4 linked regions of the Saccharomyces cerevisiae S288C genome follow. The gene in region 3 interacts genetically with the main gene of each other region. Each region holds a gene or a part of one and is shown on either strand. Other genes may lie near its edges.

Evidence for each region.
Region 1: mutations in POB3 (region 3) and RPS0B together harm fitness more than expected from each alone (negative genetic interaction), as found in Saccharomyces cerevisiae (2 studies listed by BioGRID).
Region 2: mutations in POB3 (region 3) and RPH1 together harm fitness more than expected from each alone (negative genetic interaction), as found in Saccharomyces cerevisiae (one large-scale study listed by BioGRID).
Region 4: mutations in POB3 (region 3) and ESC2 together harm fitness more than expected from each alone (negative genetic interaction), as found in Saccharomyces cerevisiae (3 studies listed by BioGRID).

What each region holds. Positions count from the first base shown.
Region 1 is NC_001144.5:238,914-244,639, forward strand, and holds RPS0B (40S ribosomal protein uS2 RPS0B), read left to right. Parts: upstream 1-3,318; coding exon 3,319-3,408; intron 3,409-3,767; coding exon 3,768-4,436; downstream 4,437-5,726. Other genes in the region: FRE8 (putative ferric-chelate reductase), read right to left, coding at 434-2,494; MLO50 (Mlo50p), read right to left, coding at 4,973-5,726.
Region 2 is NC_001137.3:521,797-528,733, reverse strand, and holds RPH1 (Rph1p), read right to left. Parts: upstream 5,366-6,937; coding exon 2,975-5,365; downstream 1-2,974. Other genes in the region: TFIIH/NER complex ATP-dependent 5'-3' DNA helicase subunit RAD3, read right to left, coding at 1-1,652; adenylate kinase ADK2, read right to left, coding at 2,083-2,760; CCA1 (tRNA adenylyltransferase), read left to right, coding at 6,065-6,937. UniProt on the Saccharomyces cerevisiae protein: Transcriptional repressor of photolyase PHR1. Recognizes and binds the sequence AG(4) in the upstream repressing sequence of PHR1. Derepresses PHR1 transcription when phosphorylated.
Region 3 is NC_001145.3:132,346-138,519, reverse strand, and holds POB3 (FACT complex subunit POB3), read right to left. Parts: upstream 3,021-6,174; coding exon 1,362-3,020; downstream 1-1,361. Other genes in the region: ITT1 (RBR-type E3 ubiquitin transferase), read right to left, coding at 1-970; DAK1 (dihydroxyacetone kinase), read right to left, coding at 3,291-5,045. UniProt on the Saccharomyces cerevisiae protein: Component of the FACT complex, a general chromatin factor that acts to reorganize nucleosomes. The FACT complex is involved in multiple processes that require DNA as a template such as mRNA elongation, DNA replication and DNA repair.
Region 4 is NC_001136.10:1,197,595-1,203,527, reverse strand, and holds ESC2 (Esc2p), read right to left. Parts: upstream 4,346-5,933; coding exon 2,975-4,345; downstream 1-2,974. Other genes in the region: CDC40 (Cdc40p), read left to right, coding at 1-685; proteasome regulatory particle lid subunit SEM1, read right to left, coding at 1,131-1,400; transcription factor TFIIIC subunit TFC6, read left to right, coding at 4,831-5,933. UniProt on the Saccharomyces cerevisiae protein: May be a substrate targeting component of a cullin-RING-based E3 ubiquitin-protein ligase complex RTT101(MMS1-ESC2). Involved in HMR and telomere silencing via the recruitment or stabilizing of the SIR (silent information regulators) complex.

The sequences.
Region 1 (5,726 bases), on a different chromosome or scaffold from region 3:
TCAGTGATTGCTTTAGTAAAAAAATTCCTATTGAGGCAGTTGAGTTCTTTTATCGACAATAAGTCTCTAGTACAGTAGTGAGAGTGTCATGTATTCAGTACCAAGAAGAACTTATATGCCTTTTATAATTCATCTTATAAGTTGCTAGACATACAAATAATCAATATGGAAATGTGCTTATTCCCGCTAATATCCATTAATATCCGCTGTCATTTTTCGCAACTATCACCAAGTGGAGAGAGGCTTGACAACCACCAGAAAAAAACTAAATCAGCCTGCGGAACTTTTCTCGGAAAAAATCAGTTAGAAAAGATCGTACATAGGGCCCTTTTTTGACAGTAAGATTAAAGAGCAAAACGGGACATTATAGATATGCCACCATCAAATACGTGAATTTTCCAAGCCTCATAAACTAATAGCCAACTTGCAACTCTTATAATGCAAAACTTTCTCCGTGAAAGTGTAAACCACCATCTGTCGCCCATCTTTTGGTGCTTTCAATTAAGCCTCTAGGGCCTGCAGCGAGAACCCATACTTGTGACAAATATTCAGCATGGTCTCTGCCTTGATTCGCCCACCTGCAACATTGAATAGAATCCGTCTCTGCATCACATTCGGTTTGCAGACACCATTCATAATCCTTATCTCCAAGTGTAGGCCTGCCAAAGAACACTTTAACACCTGCGGGAATTCTGATCTTTTTAGGCGCCGCCTCTAAACAAGGATCTTGGGCAGGTGGCTCAATGATCTTTGGTTGTCTGAAAACGCTCGATCCGTTAAACGAAGAATGTGTAGTTAGAGTTCCTTGTGCAGTATTTTTCCTTGATTTGGATCTGCTAAAAGCATATGTAAAATCTATCTCGTCATCAGCATTGATGTCAGGTATATCACTTGTTTTTGGTGGGTGATGGTTTCTCAAGGTAGATTTCTTACTTAGAAGGGCTGTGTTCTCATTGGGCTCCGTAGGTTGGGGATTTCCATCTGATAACATGGAATTATCTCCCAGTTCTGAAACTCGGCCGCTCGAAGAAATACTCCTGACTTCATCATTAATATCAGCAGCGCAGTCATGATAGTCAATATAATCAATTTCTATGTCCTGTTCGTTGCCTTCGGTGCCACTAATATATATCTCCATACCTTCAAAATTGTTTTTGAAGTGGTTCAATACTTCCAGATCCTTATAATCTCTAGAAACCCAAAGGAGCCTAACGTTTACACCGTTGAAGTTTAGAATACGAAGTAGTGGTAAGCCAAAGGAAATTCCTGAACCTCCAACACACATAAACACTCTTTGCGCTTTAATTAGAAAATTTAAAGGCGAATTTATTAGTGCAGAAGAATTGTTTCGAAATGGATTCTTGGAAGATTTCGTGGTAATATTAAAAGGAACAGTAGGTTTAGAAATGAAACTCAACTCAGGTTCAAAAGCCCCTGTAATGTAATACTTTTCATTTGTACGCAATGGAAAATGCCCGTTTCTAATAATTAACCTGACCAAATTATCACTTGGAATACTAGCAATAGTAAAAGGATGTTGGAAGGGTATCAAATGGGAGAAAAACCTCCTTAAAAAATTTCTATGGTAAATGTTGATCCTTAGATGCCCTCCTGGTAGGATGGGCTTTTTGGGTAAATCGGTTAATGGGAACTCCAAAAGAGACAATGATGAAGAAATGGGTACTATCGTAACTCTCGTAACATTGGTGATATGGAGCCTATAGACGATTTGTCCCGTTAATATGAGCACATTTAAAGTGGTATAATATGAAATTCCTGGGCGAGCGTGATAATGTAGAAACACCAAAATAAGCCATGTGCTTACATAGTGAACATAGTAAAAAACTCTGTAGCTCCATCGTCTGGCATATCTCACAGAGGTGATGGCAATCAGTAGGAAAAGGCCGAGGGCAATAACCCCATAAATGTTGGGTAGTTTTCTCATTTTCACGTATAACGTATCATTAATGTACATGTAATAGAGATAGAACCACGTGTGTAGAATAGATTCAAGCACAACAATTCTGGAAATCCATTTGTGGAGAGGTAACAATGCTAAGTATAACGTGTGAGGTAACGGTGATGGCCTCAACGTTAGAAATAGTAAAGGTGGCATCAAAGCAACGGAAATTCTCCCCATTCGCTTAGTAATTTCTAACAGATCTCCGTTAGCGCCTTGTATAACAAAAAACGAGGTGAAAACAAAGCATATTAAACATAGTTGTAGTGACTGTTTGTGATACATATGTGTTTTGTGAACCCATGATCTTCTGTTGAAAACATGATGCTTTAAATGGTGACATATTTTGAAGAATTTGTCAGTTAGCAACAAATAATTCATTAAGGGTATAATAACACATATTATAATGAAAGAAATTAAAAGACATATCTGAGAATATTTGCGGACTCTTAAAGTTCTAAAATGCTTGTCCACGTCGACATCAAAACTGGGAAGATGTTCCTTGAACCAGCTAACGATGGACTTTAAATTCATGCTGAAAATAACAATAAATAAAATACAGTAAACTTTTTTAGCGGAACTTCTATTGTAATTTAACGATTTAATCTGAAGAGATGTAGATGTAATAAAACTGTTAAAGTGGCAACGTGATAATTAAAAGCTTGGCAAAAATAAGAGATCAACACTAGCTTTTTCTTTTTCCACCTAAATTTGAAGGGAAATAAAAAAGAAATTGAGGCTGTACAGAGTGTTAATCTTCCATAACGGATACCACCAAACGTTTTTACCCTAAACTTAAATTTTATTACTTATTTTACATGCATAATGGCTGCCATGCGTAGTTCATACATGTTATTTGCACCCTTTTTCTTTTTCAATAACAAAAAAGAGCTTGGGCATTACGTTTTCAACACTTTTAATATTTCCCTTTTTACATCCGTACATATAAAATGTAAACCCATGCATTCATGACAATTTTACCTATTTCTTAAAGGCCTTTGTCACTTCTTTATGGGAATGGCGCTACTTTAATTTTCCGCCTACTTTGAAAAATTTACCAAGGCGAAATTGAGTGCGCTAGGCGGAAGTTCCAGGGCACGGTCACCGAACCTTTGTGCTGTTTCGAACGAGGGTCCCGCTGGAGGTTGACGGACGCGGGAGGAGCTGGAAAGATGGAATGGAAGGACTGCAACACTCAGTAAGAAGGTTCGTGGTAGGGAACATCACCTTCTCTAGTTCCTGTAAAAATAATATGATCAAGTTTGAATCCTCGTATTGAAAAATCGCGAGTTATTAAGTGTGTAATTTAGAATACCGAAATAGCACAAGAAGAGATAAGATAAGATACTGATAGGATAATGTCTTTACCAGCTACTTTTGATTTGACTCCAGAGGATGCCCAACTTTTGTTGGCCGCTAACACCCATTTAGGTGCTAGAAACGTTCAAGTATGTACACATATCCCATACGATTATGTTCTATAGATGATAATAGGTCTCGAAAAGAATATGTCCCCGATTTAATCATATTTGGAGGTCAGAGGACCAAAGGTAATTTCAGAGGAATTTTGAACACGCCGGGTTTAGAAGAGTTAGAATTTCACTTCTTAGTGAGGGTAAGGAGAAGAAACTCAATAAGAATATACATCCTCGACTGTGTCAAAGATTATGAACTCCGATGAAACAGTAAAACGTCAAAAAATTCCACGGGATATAATTCGGTACTTTATTGGATATGGAAGAAAACATTATATATGCACAAATGAACGCTCTTACTAACATAATTTATCTTTCCTCTCTTTTTTTAGGTCCACCAAGAACCATACGTTTTCAATGCTAGACCAGATGGTGTTCACGTTATCAATGTTGGTAAGACCTGGGAAAAGTTGGTTTTGGCTGCTAGAATTATTGCTGCCATTCCAAACCCAGAAGATGTTGTTGCCATCTCTTCCAGAACCTACGGTCAAAGAGCTGTCTTGAAATTTGCTGCTCACACTGGTGCTACTCCAATCGCCGGTAGATTCACTCCAGGTTCTTTCACTAATTACATCACCCGTTCTTTCAAGGAACCAAGATTGGTTATTGTTACCGACCCAAGATTAGACGCTCAGGCCATTAAGGAAGCTTCTTACGTTAACATTCCAGTCATTGCTTTGACTGATTTGGACTCCCCATCTGAATTTGTTGATGTCGCCATCCCATGTAACAACAGAGGTAAGCACTCCATCGGTTTAATCTGGTACTTGTTGGCTAGAGAAGTTTTGAGACTAAGAGGTGCTTTGGTCGACAGAACTCAACCATGGTCCATCATGCCAGATTTGTACTTCTACAGAAACCCAGAAGAAGTTGAGCAAGTTGCTGAAGAAGCTGCTGCCGCTGAAGAAGGTGAAGAAGAAGAAGTTAAGGAAGAAGTCACTGAAGGTCAAGCTGAAGCTACTGAATGGGCTGAAGAAAATGCAGACAACGTTGAATGGTAATCATTTGAAAACCTTGCAATGTGTGTGAATATTGTAAGGAATTGAGAAAGAGAGATAAAAAAAGAGACAGAAGTATCACTTCCTTTTCTAATTTTTCTTTTTCATTTTTTTTTTAAATTCATCTATCGTTTATCTTTATCTCATATATATTTGCTTCTCTCTGAAGCGTCATCATCTATCTGTATTTTTAATGCAATCATAGTATAAAAATTTTTAACCAAATTCAAAAATTATAATATTTTAAAAGTTTATGCTTTTGTCCTTTTATATTCAAGTCATTTGGCCATTATTACGCTTTTTTTTTTATTAGGTAAGTGGTTTCAATAATTAAATTCTTTAGCGGGAAGGCTGACTATCTATAGTATTGAAGATAAGTTAAATTAATGTTTAGTTCTGATATTTCATTTTTATTATTAATTAAATTTGCACTATTCGCCATGACGGGTTCACCCGAGTATTTATTTTGCTTTCGTTATACATATATATATATATATATTCTTCCAGGAGAAATACCTGCCTTCTCTCTTACCCCTTGCTCAATCTAAATCAATCCGTGACCTTAAATCTTCTAGCAGAATGACTAAGTCACAATCGATTTTAGAAATTTGAATAACCAGCTCAGAGATATTACTGACAAAAAACTTGTAATGGCACTGTTTTAGCAAGTTTAAGATAAATGTATCCATTAAGAAAGCATTGATTTTATTCGGACCATAATAGGTAGTCACTATTAGAATATCTAAAAGTTCTAGACCAATACCATCTAATTTGTGCTTATTCAATGCGTTGGTCATAAAATTTCTTATTACAGGCTTGATGAAATCCATTATCACATTTAATTTCAACTTGTCCTTTAAATGGTAGTATAAGTTAGGAAAGTCCTGATAGAACTTCCCCTCAGTAACCGTGTAAGAATTCTTGTTGTCCTTATTGTCATCGAAACGACTATTCAACCAGGTAACGTTTTTCGTCAAATTGATGAAAATAGACCGGGATAGAGTTTCCTGCTCTTCGTTGTTACAACATTTCCTTATTGCTAGATACAATGAGTTGTTCGCATACTGACTGAAAAATCCGGCTTCGTCTAGTTCGCTATAGTGATATAAACATCTCTTGTATATTGGAAGACGAAAATCGTTCGGTATCCCAAACCAATATAAGTTATGCTTACTTATCACCAACAGCAGGTCCGTCTCATCGCCAGATGTATGACAACTTCTCAAATTGCTCCAAAACTTTTCCAATTTTAGTTCTCTTCGAAATAAGTTTCTATTTTGAAACTTTAAATTT
Region 2 (6,937 bases), on a different chromosome or scaffold from region 3:
ACAATACTTTCCATATATAGATATGAGGGGAAAAAAACAACCATTCCATCAGGTGTGATCTTGGCAAACTCTACTAGCATAGAACCGTAATTACGAACAATACTAGGATCGTTTCTGATTTCAAATCTTGAAGAAATTGCAACTTGATCAGAACCCTTGGTAATAATCATTGGTAGAAATGATTTTTTGGCTAAGGTCATGGCATATGATTTTTGTAAAACAGTTTTAAAGTTTAACATTCTTGGATACATGTCTAATGGTGATATGGTCCCTGAAGTGATAATAACGGAAGAAAATCTCTCAAAGACTGGTTTGATGGCAATCGATGCATCTAAGCAAGTAAATCTCATAATCGGATTCGGAACTGCAGCATTTTCGATTTCATACGGTTCAATAATTAGTAAAAACCCTTCCTCATATGTTGATATAAGAGTAGCAAAAGTTGCTATGTCTTTCAATGCAGTAAAATCTTCTACCTCTGTAACTTCTAAAGTTCTTACAAGTAATGATAGCCTTTCTGAGCAAAACCGAAGAGGTTTCCTTTCTATGAAAGTTAACTGTTTTAAATGCTGTAGAAATGATTTTGGCGTTTCTGAAATAACGTGAAGAACTTTCATTCTGGTCTTCAGATATTCTATCAATCTTTTCAAAAATGAAACAAAATGCTCGGCTCTTCGTATATTTCCCGGGATTGCTTCTGTTAGAAGATCTTGGGGCAATACAGGTGTTTCCACAAATGGCTCTTCCTGGTCGGTAAGAATATCTGCAGAATGGAGACCTTGAACTAGTTTTTCGTATTCATCCTGTAATTTCTGTGAGTCAACCTTTCTGACCTCAGAAATACGTTCATCTAACGCATTAGCACCTCGTGTGGCTCTTCTCAATGCATCCGTTGTCAAGTCTAATGACAGCGATTCGATACACACATTATCAATATTGTGCGCTTCATCAAAAATGACAATGCTATCTTTAGAAACCTCGTTGGAAACTCTTTCAGCAATTTTAGGATCTAATAGATAATGGTAAGAATAAATAATAATGTTACAAAGAGAAATCATACGACGAACAATAAAATATGGACAAAGTGTTTTTTCTTCGCAGTATTTCAAAAGTTTTTCAAAAGAAAATACGCCTTTTGGAAGATAATCCTCTACTTCAATATTGTACAAATTCTCATGGTATTCACACAATTCTACATTTGCCTCTGGATCCTCTTCTAATTTTCTCTTCGCCTGCCCATTTGTCATTCTACGGCACTTTTCATCGACTACTGTACCTTTTCGTTCCTTACTCACTTCGGGATGCAAACACAAATTTTTTCTTGATGTCAAGCCAAGACCTCGAAAATCCTCTTGATAGCCTAGTTCTTTAGTTCTGTAATCCATAAGGTTCTCTAACTCTACTAAAGCTTTTTCAATTTCAGACATAGTACGAGAACAATATATGATCTTTCTATGTTCTGGGTAGTGCATCTGGTAGGCAATTGTGAGGGATAGTAATGAGACCGTTTTACCTGTTCCTGAAGGCATCTCCAAGATACTATTTCCACCTACATCCAGAGTCTTTTTAATATCGCACATATAATTATACTGCTCTGGATATATCTTGGGGTATGGAAAAAGCACTGGTAAATCATCTATATAAAACTTCATTGTTTCCAATCTTCTTAAAGTGTAGTCAAATCGGGCCGATTATCACCTTCAACCCAAGATGAAATATAGTATTTCTATGAATGGCTAACAGTACTTTGTCAACTTTAAGATATACATATATATATATTTATTTATTATTTACAGACCAGAGATTTCTTTTCAAAAGCTATGTAGCATAAAGTACGCTACTTTAATTTTTCATAAATTTCATATACATCGCTTAAATGCCGTCGGCCATGATTAATATAGGATTAACTCATATCATAAAGGCTATTCAGAATATTCAAAGTGAACTGTAATCATTTGGTTGACGAGATGCTGACTTCCAACTAGAGTCACGGTTTTTCAAAGTCTCGGGGAAGGTTAACATATACTTGCAGTTAGTGTAGCGTTAAATCACCCTATTAGCCGAATTTGCTGGTTATAAGGTTCAATAATTTCGGAAGATAATATCTGATGTTTCCCCAGAGACGGTACCAAAAATCCCACTTTTTTTGTAATAATCTTTTAAAGGCTCATTTGTTTTCTTGTACTCTTCTAGCCTTTTTTTAAACACTTCCGCTGTGTCATCAAGCCTCTTGGTCAATGGTTCTCCGGTGATATCGTCTAATCCTGGCACTTTGGGAGGATTATATTGTAAGTTATACACTCTCCCACTAGGAACGTGAACATATCTGTTCTCGATCCTTTCTAATATGGTGGATTCGGGTACATCTAGCTCTACCACTAGATTCAAGCTGGCGTCATGCTGTTTCAGCAGCTCGTCTAAGGCAGAAGCTTGCGCAGTAGTTCGAGGAAATCCATCGAGCAACCACATGGCAGATGGTTTTAACCAACCCAATGCCGAAAGACGAAAAGTTATCAGACGCGTTATGAGATCATCCGGTAATAACTTGCCTTGAGCAATGTAGGTAGTAGCCTCTCGGCCTAGGGTAGATTCAGATTTTATTTCCTGACGTAAAATGTCGCCTGACGAAATTGAAGATAATTGTGGAATTTGCTTTAGTAATCTCGAAGTCTGTGTCCCTTTACCTGACCCTGGAGCCCCCAATAATAAAAGTCGAAGAGGTTTGAGTAGATGTGTTATTTGTTTCGCGTCTGCTTTCATTGATGCTTGCTAACCCTGTTCCTGAAAATTTAAAGATTTACAAACAAATATATATACGTATATTATCCTTTTCTACACATGTGTATCTATATAATGATGGTTATTGTAATGGTATTTATTAGTGAATGTGGGTTTTCGCGAATTCCCGGCCGACCGAGCACATTTTAAGAGCCTTCAAAATGAGAGATCTCGGTAAACAACTGGCAATCGTGAGTCAGTTTAAAGGTGTACTCTGTTGATTAATGGCCGCTTTCCCGTCCTGCGGTTGCACTGTAGGGTTCATTATTGGAGCATCTACTGTTGTTTCGTTTGAAATACACGGTATTTTCTTATTCAAGTGCTGCAGAACGTGATCTCTCCTTTTAAATCTTTTGCCACATTTGGGACAAGAATGAGGTTTCTCACCAGAGTGGACGGATTTTTTGTGTCTTGTAAGATGGTGACCAGAAGAGAACTTTCTTTGGCATTCCTTACAAATATAAATCTTGTTCTTACCTGATAACACGATTTCTTCGGGCGCAAACTTAGAGTTTAATGGAGAAGAGCCTTGTTCTTTGTCCAGATCGTCATTTCGGCTTGTAAAAGAATCCTCTTGGCGAGTGGATGCAACCTTTGAAAGTATAAGATTTGATTTTGATGTCTCGACAGGAGATTCCTTTTTGAGTATTCTATTTGCTGTCTTGTGATTTGGTCTTTCAGGGTGCGGTGTTTTTATGTCGTTTGTGTCACTCAGTGGCCCGAGCACAGAAGTAGAGAGATTTGACACGGTTGATGGTGTGGAGAATGAATGTTGTTGCGAATGTTGTTGTCTTGCCTCGTAATTCAGAGCTATAGGGCTTCTTGACGATTCCCTGGATATATTTAATGTTACAATGTTGGGAGACTTAACTCGTTTTATCAGCGATATATTTGGATTCACTGGAGAATGTGGAGCCGAGTGAGATATCCCGCTAATATTCTTGTTAGAGATATATAATAAAGGGTTCAATCCAGATGGTCCATTAGGTCGCGGGAAGGCAAGAGTATTGTTTGTCATGTCAAGCAATGGTTGGGCATTTGAGAGTTCATTAGATGAATTCAATCTTGACAGTGGCAACCTCGGAGAAGACGCCGCACTGTTTGCCATTGAAGTAAGGCTCATGGCCACTATGTTGTCTTCGTGATCTGTGAGCATCGCCGTTTGCGAAGTTTCTCTTTTCAAAAGTTTGTTTAAGGGCTGTTCTTGAAAAGAAGAGATTCTTTTTAATTTCAAAGTTGGATCTTCTAGTGTGGGCTCGACAATGTTGGAATAATCTTTCATACGTGATAATAAGGGAGAAGAAACACCAGAGCTCTTGGATTTAAAGTTTGAAAAATGACCCACATCTGGGCTTGTAGATCTAAGCGAGCTGCTTTCCATTTCTTTTAAAGTTGGCCTGTGAAGTAAGGGCATGGCAGGATTGGGTAATTGATTGAGGGGTGGCGTTCCTTTCGACTCTTTATTATTGTCCCTCCAAGATTTAGCGAGTTTCTTAACATCTATTTCCACTGAGTCTGAAATGCAGTGGCATTTTCCAGCTTTCTTCCCAATCGGTAGCCACTCCTCCAAAGCAAAGTTGACGGATTCTGCCAAGTTATATCCATAATTGAACCCTGCATGGTAACCATAGGGATAAGTGATCATGAATTCGCCTTCATGGTGGACAATTTCATTGCATCGTATGCCATTTTCCTGCAGCAGTTTGGGCGAAGCCAAAAACATTTTATGTCTTAAAAATTCAGGACAATTTTTGGCTTCTTCGGGAAATTGCTCCTGCATGAATTTGTAGAATTTGAACCTATCCTCTTGCGGTATCGAATACCACTGTTTTGGGGCACCGAAATGAATATAATTTATGGAATACAGGTCCTGATCTTCCAAGTGCCAAGAAAAAGAAGCCTTCCATAGACCAGCGTATAGATAGGAGTCATTCACCCCAGGAACCTTTGTTTCCATATGGTCCAAGATGTTCGGTAGTTTGGCAACATTCCAAACGTTCAGCCCTTCAGGAAAGATTGATCCTGGTGTATCTGCGCCGTACATAGGCGTAGTAAAATTTAGCGTTTTCCAATAATACTCTTCCAAGAACTTTAATCTCTCCGTATTTTGGAAGTCAGATAAATCTATTGTATACTCCGTCCTGAACTGTTCAAAATCATCAATATTAAAAGACGATTCAAAATTTTTCAGTTTCAACTTCGTGGATTTGGAAACGGAGCCTTTCCTAGAATTACGTCTTGCTTTAGGATCCTCCGGAGGCACATAGTCCTTAGAAAGATCTTTCCACTGTATAATGTTATAGGTCTTGTTTTTCTCCACGTTCTGCACCATAAAAAGACCTTTATTACCAGAAATATGCTGCTGAATAGGTGATTTAATCTTGATCTTTTGGAGCGTTTCCGCAGAATAAGGCAGATCTAATTTGTCTTTCCATTCTTTAGGTGGGATTACTTTCACAACACCACTTTTCATGCCATATTTGTTTATGGCCTTGCAGTATGCATAGAAATCTTCGAATTGCTCGTATGTGGGTTTGAAGACGGGCACTCCGCCCACGATTTCTGAAGGAGCGATTAGTTTCGTCATGATTTCACGCAACTGAATATCCTCACCAAGACAGTCTTATTCTTTTTTTCCCTTTTTTTTATCTGTTTATTTTTCTCCAGCAGATCTATAAAATAAGTGGTACTAATAGAAAGGTTAAGTCCCCCTATTTTAAAATAATGCTGATAGAATGATTAAATTGGCCGCTTGATGAAAACCGCAAGTAGCTACTTCAGGGACAAGCAACGCCTTCGATGCGAATATATGTTTTGCTGATAACGATCTATGTACAGCGTCTGCAATTCTCTTAAAATTATCGCCTTGCCATTGTTACTTAAGGAGTCTATGTGATTAATTGCATGGCGATGAGGTTACCCTTGAAAAATATAGAAAAGATTTTTCCGAATAAAAAGAAAGTAAAACTAAAAAAAAAAAAAAAATGGAAAAAGAAAAAGAAACGTTTAGGGGAGAGGAGGGCTGCGGTTAAGGCTTATGGGGTGTATGGGCGGGGGAAATAGGGCATACTTTCTCGATTCACCAAACCCTTAGGTCATCTGATTTTTAGGGTTGTGTTCTTGTCGTTACTCAGCCCTAAAAAACATTCGTTAGGGTTGAAAAGTTGAAAAATGAATCGCAAAAATCTACCATATTAACAATGTACTAAAGGAAACTACATAATACATCGCAACGCTTCCCTCGAGATTAATTCGTATCCGTGGGTTATAAGGGCTTTTTTTGTGTATGCTACGGTCTACTATATCTCTACTGATGAATAGTGCTGCTCAGAAAACGATGACGAATTCTAATTTTGTTCTAAATGCACCCAAAATCACCTTAACCAAAGTGGAACAGAACATCTGTAACTTGCTGAACGATTATACAGACTTGTACAATCAAAAGTACCACAATAAGCCTGAGCCATTGACTCTTCGGATCACGGGCGGATGGGTGCGTGACAAGCTTCTGGGACAAGGTTCTCACGACTTGGATATTGCCATCAATGTGATGTCAGGTGAGCAATTTGCTACTGGTTTGAACGAGTATTTGCAACAACATTACGCCAAATATGGAGCCAAGCCTCATAATATCCACAAGATTGACAAGAATCCCGAGAAATCCAAGCATCTGGAAACTGCCACTACTAAGCTCTTTGGCGTTGAAGTGGATTTTGTCAATTTAAGATCTGAAAAGTATACTGAACTTTCCAGGATACCTAAAGTGTGCTTTGGCACACCCGAGGAAGACGCTTTAAGAAGGGATGCTACATTGAACGCTCTTTTCTATAACATTCATAAAGGTGAAGTGGAAGATTTCACCAAGAGAGGTCTGCAAGATCTAAAAGATGGCGTTCTCCGTACTCCGCTTCCTGCAAAACAAACATTTTTGGATGATCCCTTGAGGGTTTTGAGGTTGATCCGTTTTGCTTCTAGATTCAACTTTACCATAGATCCGGAAGTGATGGCTGAAATGGGCGATCCTCAGATTAATGTTGCATTCAATTCAAAAATTTCTAGAGAGCGAGTTGGTGTGGAGATGGAGAAAATATTAGTAGGACCAACCCCTTTATTGGCTTTGCAGCTGATTCAAAGGGCTCATCTTGAAAATGTTATCTTT
Region 3 (6,174 bases):
AAAATACAAAATGACATTTTTGACACTGAATCATCGCATCATCGAGGTCTTCTTTTGTGCACCAACTATCACATCTTCGACAAGTCACACAAGCATACGGACAATATTTTGAGAGTCTTGTAGCCGCCTGGTTGTAGAACATTTTTTCGTATCTTTCACATAGCTCTGTATCGATAACCTCTTTTAAGAAGGACACTGGAATCAAAGGTGTAAACAATGCCTTCAGCATTTTTTTATAGCTCTTGAAATCTTCTAGTTTTAATTCTTTGTATTCGCATTGTGGACATCTTACACTGGATATTCGGTTTTCCTGAATCATTGCAGTGAAATAAGATTTGGCGCATCCTCTGCAAAGATAGTGTTCTACATTCGCATTTTCACATGGCAATTTGATCATTCTAACACCCTTTTCCATTTCCATACAAATACAACAATGGTAGTTAGATCTGCTCACTTTTTGGAGGGTGGCTTCCTCACTTATCTGCTTAAACAAGTCATACTGATCCTGTGTCAGGCACTTTCTTATTCCATTAGGGAATAGTAATATAGCTGTATCATCTATAAGAAACCCAAAGATGAGGATAAGGATGGAGGTAAACGAATCCGCGAACTCAATACTCATATCTACAGTTTCTTCAACGAGTCTCAGCGCTTTGTCAATTAACATCTTCTTTTCATCTGTTGATATCCATAAGGATTTGATATCCATAACAACACACCGTCGAATGTCCGGATAATGACAGCTATATATGGTGAACTCCACGCATTCATTAGATAAGTTTGAAAGTAACATATGTTGCTCGCCGAACTCAATATTTACATCGGCCAATAGTGATATCTTGAACAGTAACTTTCCGTTAATTCTTTGAGGGAATTCACCTTCCTCCTCTACTTTTACCGATTTCATTTCCAGTTCTGGGTACATATCTCTTAATATTTCCAAATCATTTTCAAACTGAGTCAAAGCCATTTTACTCCCTGGTCTTTCATCAGTTATATTAGTTTTCTGTAATTCGTTATTCTACACCATGACATAACTTACTGGTGACTAAATGAGAAAAGCAAAGTCCCTTTCTCTTGCTTGTTATTTATTTTTGAACCCTTTACACTATTTGTCTTTTTTTCATCACCCAATCGAAAAGTTGAAAGTATTTTTCAAGCATTGAAAGGGTAGAGGAGATTAACAAAACATAAATATTTTGCAAAACAAAACCAATTTCAAATAAATGTATAGAATAACACCAGTAATTAAGAGGTGGTGTCTTACACTCACCATGTCATGATAATATCAATTGGCAAAATATATTAGTTAGTTTTTACACAATATCAATAAATTTAACTTATACAGTCTAAAATTATTACTATTCTACCTTAGGCTTCTTCGAAGGCCTTTCTTCGTCGCTACCCCCCTCAGCATCACTTAAAGCCGCATCTGAATCAAACTCTTCTGCAACTTCGTCTGCGTCATTATCAGAGCTGACCTGAAAATCCTCATCTACTGATTCATCATCTTCACCAGCGGAACCCATATTAATATCCTCTTCGTCACTGTCTGAACCTAAAGCGGTTTGTAACCTTTCTTGTACCTCTCTATCTTCATTCTTCACCCTTAGGTTTTTAGACTTTAGGAATTGTTCCAATAATTGCTGCTCTTCCTTACTGATGTTGGCAAAAGTGGTAGAACCTCTATTTGAACGCAGTACCACTTCCAAATCAAACGTCCTCGATGACGTAGAAGTTTGTCCTGCTCTTGAAATGTTTACCATGCTAACATCACTGAATGGTATGTACAAAGTTGGCTTAGTTAAAAAGAAGAAAGCGTTATCTAATGGATACAAATAACCTTCGTTTGCTTTGAAAGAACATGAAACTGCACACTGATCATATTTGGATTTATATTCTCCAGGAACAATGACTCTACGGTCAGTCAGACCTTTTAATACATGACTTAAAACTATATGAGTTTTAGCATCATATTGTTTTTTCAATTTATCCTTATAATTTTCCTCATAATCTTCATCTTCTAGATTCAATTGCACTTCTGTTTCCTCATCTTTCTGAAATTGTAAGACAAGAAAGGGGTAGGTGGTCTGTCCTTGACGTAAAGGAGGTTCAATTGCCAAAACCAATAAGTGATGGATATCATCTGCCTTTGGTAACGAAACAATTCTTTGTATTTGACGATGTTGCAATTTGTATTCATAGGTCTTACCCCTGAGTCTAATGGAGTTCTTGTAAATATCGATATCATAACGACCTCTTGGCGTGGTAAAAAAGACGTCTTGGAAGGAAACTATTGCATCACCAGCGACTTCCCCGATGTCTGCCTTTTCCTTTAGTTCTTCATAGAATGCTTCTGCCATACTCTTTTCCTCTACTGCCATTTGTACATCTTCTCCTTCAGCACCATCTTCTTTCTTTGGTACGACCTCGTTGCTTGACTCTTCCTTTTTGGTCATGTTTTCATCGACGTTTGTTTGAATAACACCAGGAATATAGAACCTCATCTCTACCAATTCGTCACCGGCTGGTTGGTACTCTTCATCTTGAATATTAAATTCTATTCCTACTTCATTTTTAGAGGTCAAATTTGTATTATTTATTCTAGCATAAGGAATTTCAAAAGTTGGTTTACCATTTAAAGCAAAAACCATTTCATTCCTGGCAAGGTCTGTCTTACCCCAGTTCCAACCACGTAAGGAATGTTCTCTTTGCTCTACCTGAATATTAAAACGGCGATGGAAATCATTCTTGATTAAGTTATAGTCATCCTGAGAAAATCCATCTAGTTGGATAACACCTTGATTTTTGGTATTTATCTTCAAGTCGTAACCCCTGCAGCCCCTACTCCATTGGACGGTAGATAATTCTGTGGCTGGTAATAAAAATGGTTTTCTTGCCTGATTTGCTGCAGAGCCACCACTGGTACTAATTTTCCACCCTAACCCAGAATCAGCAATACGGAATCTACCGCTAAATTTAGATTGGTTCAAGTAAATTCTATCAAAGTCGGTACTCATAATTCTTGTTCAACAATACTAGATTGTTCCTTCACTTGTTAACGGTATTTCCTTCTTGTTCTTACCACCGATTCAACATCTAGCTACTCTCATACTATGTATATCTCTGACACTCGCGTTAACATTTCACCAGTTTAACGATTCGTTTCGCGTTGAACCGGGTTATACAATCGTTCTTCGCGATGATAATAACAATAACTCCAAGAAAAGTAAGCTTTTTCTATATATATATATCATAAGTATCTTGATATGTATTCGTGAGCCAAGTACTTACAAGGCGCTTTGAACCCCCTTCAAAAACTCACATAGGCCTACTGCACCAGGATCTTCTACTTGAGATGAATCGCCGACATACGAAGCTCTGCCAAATTTGGCCTCGAATGTAGCAGTGGATTTAGCACCTTCCTCTGCAGCTTTTACCGCCTTATTGAAATCCTTAGATGCAGTAAATTCTTTAACGAATGGTTCTAAAGCATCAATCATGGTGGATGATCCCTTCCTTGCCTTTGTATATTTGTATAAAGTATCCAATGCAATTCCGAGTGACTTAGCCACAATTTCCTTAGTGACGGGTTCATCCTTTGATTTACAAACCTGAATTAATCCGTGTGAAAAACCCGACAAAAGAATAGAATATAAACCACCAGAAGTACCTCCCATTGAGCCTTCAATGAAATCTGAAATTTGGGCAACCGCCTGAGATAATGAGTCCTTCGACAGCTTGTCAAGGTTTTCGGTGATGCCTTTAACTCCTGCCACTAAAGTGTAACCACAATCACCATCACCAACTTGATTGTCTAGTTCCGTAATGTGCGGTTCGCTCTTGATAACTTGTTCAGCACCACTCTTCATCCACTCAGCAAACTTGTCAAAGTCATAGGTACCGACGGCCTTTGCTGTTACTTCATTATGTAACAAGTCATCGTTAACAGATGGGGCAGAAGTCTTTTCAAAATCTGCAATTGGCCAGCCCGGTGCGTTCGTAAATGCGTTCAACAAGTCTAGTACTGATTTGATCTCCTCAAAATCAGATTGCAAAGCCTTTGTAGCCTTAGTGGCGTTTAGTAATGTGATACTGAACCCATTACCATTGAAGGAGGTCATCAATGTGCCAGCAATTGTTTGAACCGGGGTTATGTTGTAATTTTCCTTTAAGAAATCCGTAGTTTTGGAAGTGATAGAACTAATAACAAAATTAGAAACACCGCCGAGATTGTTAACTAACAAGACAACTTCATCATCTTCATCAAACTTTACAAAAGCTCTATCCTTATCGTTTGGATCCAATAGTTTTGGTAGCATATACTTGGAGATCAAGTCTTCGGTAGAAGGAATAGGGTCTAAAACTTTCACACCAGGTTCGTTATGAATACCCATACCCAATTCCATTTGTTTTTCGTTTAATTCACTTTCGAATTTCCTGCCAGGAACTTTACAATGGTCTAAAGAAGATCCAATGGTCACCAAATTGTCGTTGATAATTTTAGCCACTTTAGCTGTACCGTCTAAGCCATACTTACTAGAATATTCTTCTGCGAAGGCACCTACAATCTTATGAACCAAAACGGTACCTGCCAATGCTCTTCTACCAACCATACCACCCTTTTCTCTGCCAACTGCAACATCATCACCTATGACAGCAACGCGGCAGTTAATACCCAAGGCTCTTGCTCTCTCAGCGGACAGACCAAAATGCAAAACATCACCTGTGTAGTTCTTCACAATCAATAAAACGCCAGACGCATTTTCATTGACTAAACGGATTGCATTTAAAATCTGTTTTGTTGAAGGGGATGCAAAAATTTCGCCAACCACGGCGCCACTCAACATACCCTTACCAATGAAACCGGCGTGTGTAGGTTCATGTCCACTACCACCACCAGAAATTAATGCGATCTTGTCGGAATCGGTCTTTCTGAAGAGAATTTTTTCTTCAGGGACCAGCGTAATGGAGGGGTTAGCAAGGGCAAACCCTTTGAGACTTGAATTGACTGGATCTGTGACTTCAAACGATTTAGCGGACATTTAAAATTTAGTCTTAGATATAGAATGTAATCTTATTCTTTGATGTGTTCGTTTACAGTTGCTACAAATAGTGACTACTTGTAGCGAAGTTGAAGTGATTTTCTCCTTATATATTTATTCATCAGTTAGTTCGACAGACGCTCGCGAGGTGGCCACTCTTTCAAAATGACGCAATTGGGAGTGGTTTGATCTTTCTCCCTTAGAAGCCAAATTGGCAAGCACTCACTCCGGGCCAGATTTACACCATGTTTGTAGCGCATTTAAATCAGGAAATGCATTATATTTCACTCTCTCGTCTAGCGAGTCTTAATGTTCATGACGGGGGAGCTTTATGCCTTGTTTTTTATCACAGCGCCAGACAATTGACAGTAACAAATAAAGGCAAAAAACCCTTGAATAGCACCAGAGGTGTTTACTGATTGCTTTTAAAGTACGTATAAAACTGTAAAATATAGATTAAATTCGACCGCCATTACTTTAGAGTTGAAATTGGGAAGCCGTATATTGCCATTTCAGCCATGCTTCTATGGTTCCTAATGGAAGCATGAATGACATACGCAATTTGATGAGCTTGAAAAGGGCGTAATTGACAAGCCAGATTTGAATCTAATCCCTTGAGAAATTATCTGCAAGTAGTAAAAAAATCTCTAAAAGATGTATAATTGAGTCGCCTAGAGACCTCATTCATCATGATATTTGACACCTTAATTTTGATAGTAGCGGGTCAGTCATTAAGAAGAAAGTGAGCTGGGGCTAATCATCAACGATCTCCCATAATTACGTACGTCAAAGACAACACGTTGGCAAAGGTAAGAAGAACGTAGTGCGTATCATGCTTACGGTGAATTTCACCCTTTTTTTCTGTTATTCGTGCTGATCCACGGGGTATTCAATTGAAGATATTATCTTTATCATCATATCGGTAAGCGTCTGGGAGAAGCAACTGGTCAAACGTTTTCAAAAACCATTCTTTAAACAACAAACCGATCAATGTTCTTGATCAGCTTATCAATCTATCCGATCTCCTGCGTTCAGCGTGACCGCCACACTTATGTCTAGATAATTTAACTTCCAGTTGCTAATTTCCCGCTAAAGTATCTTATGTTTACCATCACTGTAGCCGCCCTAT
Region 4 (5,933 bases), on a different chromosome or scaffold from region 3:
AAGCGTTAAAATTTGGGATACTGAAACTGGTAAAGTGAAAACCAGGTTGCACCTTAATTCAACGCCTGCAGATGTTGAATCTCGGCCCACTAACCCACATGAGTTCATTGTAGGTTTATCGAATTCGAAAATATTACATTATGATGATCGTGTTTCAGAAAATCAAGGTCTTGTGCAGACATATGATCATCACCTAAGTAGCATTCTGGCTCTCAAGTATTTTCCCGATGGTTCGAAGTTTATTTCTTCTTCAGAGGATAAGACGGTAAGAATTTGGGAAAATCAGATCAATGTACCAATAAAACAAATAAGTGACACGGCTCAACATTCTATGCCATTTTTAAATGTACATCCGTCTCAGAACTATTTCTGTGCACAAAGCATGGATAATAGAATATATTCTTTCAGTTTGAAACCCAAATATAAGAGGCATCCAAAAAAGATATTTAAAGGGCATTCATCTGCTGGTTATGGGATAAGCTTGGCTTTTTCTGGTGATGGTCGTTACATATGTTCAGGCGATTCAAAAAGCAGACTATTTACTTGGGATTGGAATACGTCGCGCTTATTAAATAACATCAAGATTCCAGGCAACAAGCCTATAACTCAAGTGGACTGGCATCCTCAAGAAACAAGTAAAGTCATTTGCAGCGGAGCGGCAGGTAAGATATATGTATGTGACTAGCTATTCACTCGGAATGTTACTTGAAACAAATTAAATGGTTACATGGATGTGATTTGTTACTTAATTGTTATTACGGATGATATTATTATGATAGTAAAAATGACAATAATAAAGAAACGATTGGGGTTACCTGAAATTGCAAGTACTAGTTCGAGGACACATTTGCATCATATGGTAGAAAGAGCGGATCTTAATATAGTTAATTTTTTAAACTGAGACTGCATTTAAAGAAATGAGAAATCTCAGCTGAGTTATTTAATACTTTGCGTGCATCATTATTATACTACAAGGCCATATAATCGACTACCGCATAGCCTTTCGTATCTCTTTTTATTATTTATTTTATCATCTAAGCAAAATATACTAGTATGACAACAATGTACTAAAGTAACATTAGACGTATAATTTCCTTTTGCGTTATTTAGAAATAATGTTATGTAGCCCCTCACTGATTTTCCCGTTTGTATCTATCCAATTCGGCCTTCAATTCATTGGTGAAATCGTCGTCAACTTCAACATCATCCCAGTTTTCTTCCCATATGTTTGTTTGCGTTACAGCATTGCTTTTTATTGTTTCACCATTGGCCCATGTGTCAATGGGGAAATCTTCAAATTCATCGTCTTCCTCTAGAGACTTCTTATTTATTTCCTCATTTTTTTTTTTTGTTAAATCTATTTTACTTTGGGCTTGTGCAGCAGCAACGTCCGTACTCATATTTTTGCGTATTTGTACTATTATTCGACTTTTATTGCCACTCTATTCACTTTATGCATAGGTAGGTTTCCATTAGGACTTTAAAAGGTAACGCCCACCACGTTCGCCACCCATAGCACTAGTTTCGTAAATAATGATAATATAATGGATCCGACAGAACTAAGAAGCTTTCAGCCCTTCAAAATCCCTACTAGTAGGTTACAAAGACATGAGGAAATGTTGATATAATTTTTATTGTTTTCTTTAGAAGGTTAGTTTTAAACACAAACCCGAAAAAAAATTTATAACATTTTGAATGTGTTATTAGCCCTGTAGGGGGCTCGAACCCCTAACCTTATGATTAAGAGTCATACGCGCTACCGATTGCGCCAACAAGGCTATTTATTTGTGACCTTTTAAAGGTTAAAAAGGGATAATACATATAATTTCTCAATATCAAGATGCATCATCATGTATTAAACTGAGAAATAAGTGAATTCTATGAATATTGAGATAGGGTTGGGATTGCATTGTTGGAAAACAATATTTGGTTATCAATTCTTGCTTTTCAACTTCTACTAAAAATGGTAACTGCTTGTCAATCTTTATGTCAACTTCTTAGGTTGTATATGATAGTTTACTAATAATATGAACGTTAGTCGGGTATATGATGGTTGATTCTTATTCCAACAATATCAAACACATCAGTAATTTTCAATCACTTTAAAATATATTGATATAAACCTTTTTTCCATATAAATGTATTCACATTTTTTGCATCCATGATCACTGTTGGTAAAGTACGCCCTATTTATAGAAATACGTAAATAAGGAGCAATCGATAAAGCATGTAGACCAATATAGTGTTGAGATATTTGTCGGATCCCATCTTGGTGTAAGTAATAGTACTATGTGTAACAATAGTGGGTGAAAGCCATTCTTGATGGTTTAGAGTTCAAAAAAGAAAATCAACAATTCTGCACAGTACCATATTTATTATTTTTCTTCGTTTTCACCTAATCACTCATTGATGCAGTTACACTACCAATTCTTGCCCTTCAAATCACCTTAAAGGATGATGGCTTGAATTTTATTTTCTGCTGATCTCGTAATTTATACAACCTTTTAGCGTTGATATCATAATATTATGATGAAACGAATTATTTTAATTGACTGCTGTAGCAACAATAGAGAAGTAGTTTACCTCTTGTTCCAAGAAAACTATAGCCGAGGAAATATCAAATTGTTTTGATAGTTGTTCTACGTTAGATGTACTATTCAAACCTAGCACGAAAAAGCTGAAGAGATTTTTGTATTCATTAGGCGATCAAATTTTTATAGAAAAGCGTTAACATGTTGAGTTAGAGATGGAAAAATTCCTTTATAATATTTCACGGAAGGTAGAAGAGGGTCAGCACCTACTTTTTGAACAGAGAATTACCCGAGTATGATTTAAACACAAAAGGTCTTATTCAATTATATTCAGAAAATATTTTACAAGTACCGCAAGCACCACCAACACACCCGCCGCCCATAGTAAATAATAATTGTGGCACGTAAAGAGCCGGAGTTCGGCCTTTTTTAGCAAATTGCGCTCAATCAATAATGACATCAACCATGTCTTCATCTTCCATATCCTGATCGGCTATACACTCATTCATGTCCAATTCATCATGATCAAAAAGTAATTTAACCCTCGTCTTTTGTGGTAACTGTTTCTGGATTCTGTAATATTCGGCAATTTTAGAAAATGGTGTTGAACGCCTAACATGGACATAGATTTTTTTGTTATCTTGACCCATGAGAGCGATTCTCATAACTTCTTCCATGCTACTACTATTTCCTGACAAAGAGCCACCCTCTTGCAGAAGTTTTGTATTCATAACTGTATCATTTTCTTTTATTTCTTGTGTTTCTTCTACGTTTTTTAATTCGGATTCAAACTCGCGATATTCGGACTCTTCTTGTTCATTTCTCTTTTTCTCTAACTTCCTTTCCATCTCCTGACGTTCTTTTATGAGTAAAGCAGCTTCTTCTTCCTTTAACTTTGATTCCAGTGTCGCTTCAAAGTTCTTTTCGTATTCTTTGGATACGATAGTAACATCGATATCAGAGACTTCATTTTCAAAATCCTGTGGGATATGTAGCGAATTACAAGTCATAAAAGTGAGTAATTTTGCATTGTTCCAATAAAGAGTAACATTCTCTACCTTGTATATATCTTTCATTACCTTCGGAATTTTATAGGACTTCATCAATCCGTCCAAAGCAGCAGGAAGTATTTTTGAAAATTCGTATTTTCCGAGGACCTTCACTTGGACCGCTTTATTTATAGTTCCTTCTAGCTTAGAGAGAAATTTGATGTTATAAACTCGCTTCCGCTGGTCGGGTGTCGATTCTTTAGAAATAGTGGTGCTTTTTTTGGCTTCTTTAGCAAGTTCCTTGAAAAAGTCATCGTTTTCATCATAGGTATACAGTAATGAACTTTTCTGTCGCTTGTATTTTCCCGCTGGAGATATTGATCTTATGCTTGACCTGGACCTTGACCTAGATCTGGGAAAATTTTTGTCTTCGTCTAAGTCAGATTCAGATGAGTTTATTTCAACTACAGACTCTTTCATCACAGATCTTCCTCTAGTTCGACCCGATGGTTTGTCTGGCTTGGGCTCCGTAATATCTTCTATATTTACATTTTTACTAGATGATCTGCTCAGGGACTGATGTTGTTCCTTTGCGTCGCTATCTTCACTATCAGATAATGTTAGAGTTGAATGCTTTGATGGCGGTACCGTGACTTTAGAGTCAACTATGACACTTTGCCTATTACTTTCATCGCTATGATCGATTTCATCTATATCATAGGAATTGTCCATAAAGAAGTCATCGCTGTTTTCATCAGAAAAACTTGTATTATCTGGATCTAGATTAATTGAGGGTTCGCTGATGCTTCTGGAATCACCGGTCATCTGTTAACAGCCTAAAACAAATGATTTTTTCTCTTGCCTTTTATTGTTCAGGGCTATAATCCGTGTTCGCAATCACTTTAAAATGAATTCTGAAGTAATAATGAAAAGTTGTTCTATTTCAATTGCGATATACGCTGTCAAAGTGATATATGGTATTGGGAATTCATAGGCATGCTGGTCCCTCCTCTGCCTGTCATTTCTTTTCTTATATGCTACAATAAAATTTGCTGTCTTCTGTAAGGAAATAGAAGGGATTCAGTATCACCCGGAAAGCTGCGGTTCGAAAACCCTACGTTGCAAAAGAAGATAAACAACATTCCATTTTTTGTTCGAGAAAGCCTGGATGAGTTGTTAAAGCTTTGATTTCTACTCAGTAAGAGCAGTTTCATGTCCTAAAAACTAAAGCTAGTACTCTTTGATCCATTAGCGAAATTTCTCTAACTTGCTCCATTGCGATACGTGTAATAATATATTAAGTTGTGGCGATGGCAGTAATACCGGCAAAGAAAAGAGGAAGACCTAGAAAATCTGTGGTAGCAGAAGTTCCCTATGATAGCTTGGCAAGCCCAGTATCTGAAAACTCAGGCAGTAAAAGGCCGAGGAGAAACGCATCTAAGAAAGCAGTTGCAAATTTCGCACAATTAGTGCATGCTGGTCGCGATGATGTGATAAATACTACACAAGTCAATAATGTTGATGACACCGACGATGATGATTTTGTATTGAATGATGAAGGTGATGGTGAGGAAAGTGACAATGTTGAGATAGAATTTGAGAATGAGTTAGAGTCTACTAAAAATGAGGTGGCGGATTTAAACAGTAGTGGAAGTGGAGCTTCTGTTAGACCCAGTGGAAGAAGAAATACTGTACAGAAACTTCGTTTGAAGAAGAATTCGACTAAAAATATGAAGAGCAGCTCCCCAGGGTCAAGTCTAGGACAGAAGGGCCGTCCCATCAGGCTCCTAAAAGATCTTTCGAGTGCAAGAGACAAGATTGAAAGAATTTATGGACTGAATAAGGAAAAGTTATTGTTGCTAGCAAAAGTTAAGGAAGGCTTTGAAACTAGCGTTTTCGATTTCCCATTCAAGAATATTCAGCCTGATTCTCCATATTTTGTATGCTTAGATCCACCGTGTAAAAAGGAAAGTGCATATAATAAAGTCATAGGGGATAAAAACAGAACCGTATATCATGAAATTAATAAGACTGAATTTGAGAATATGATCAAATTGAGAACGAAGAGATTGAAGTTACTTATCGGGGAAGTTGATGCAGAGGTATCCACTGGCGATAAAATAGAGTTTCCGGTGCTTGCTAACGGCAAAAGGCGCGGCTTTATTTACAACGTAGGAGGATTGGTAACAGATATTGCATGGCTTAATATAGAGGAAAATACTGATATAGGCAAGGATATACAATATTTAGCCGTCGCGGTATCACAGTACATGGATGAGCCTTTGAACGAGCATTTAGAAATGTTTGACAAGGAGAAGCACTCCTCCTGTATACAAATTTTCAAAATGAATACTTCTACTCTACATTGCGTAAAAGTTCAAACCATTGTACACTCATTTGGTGAAGTGTGGGA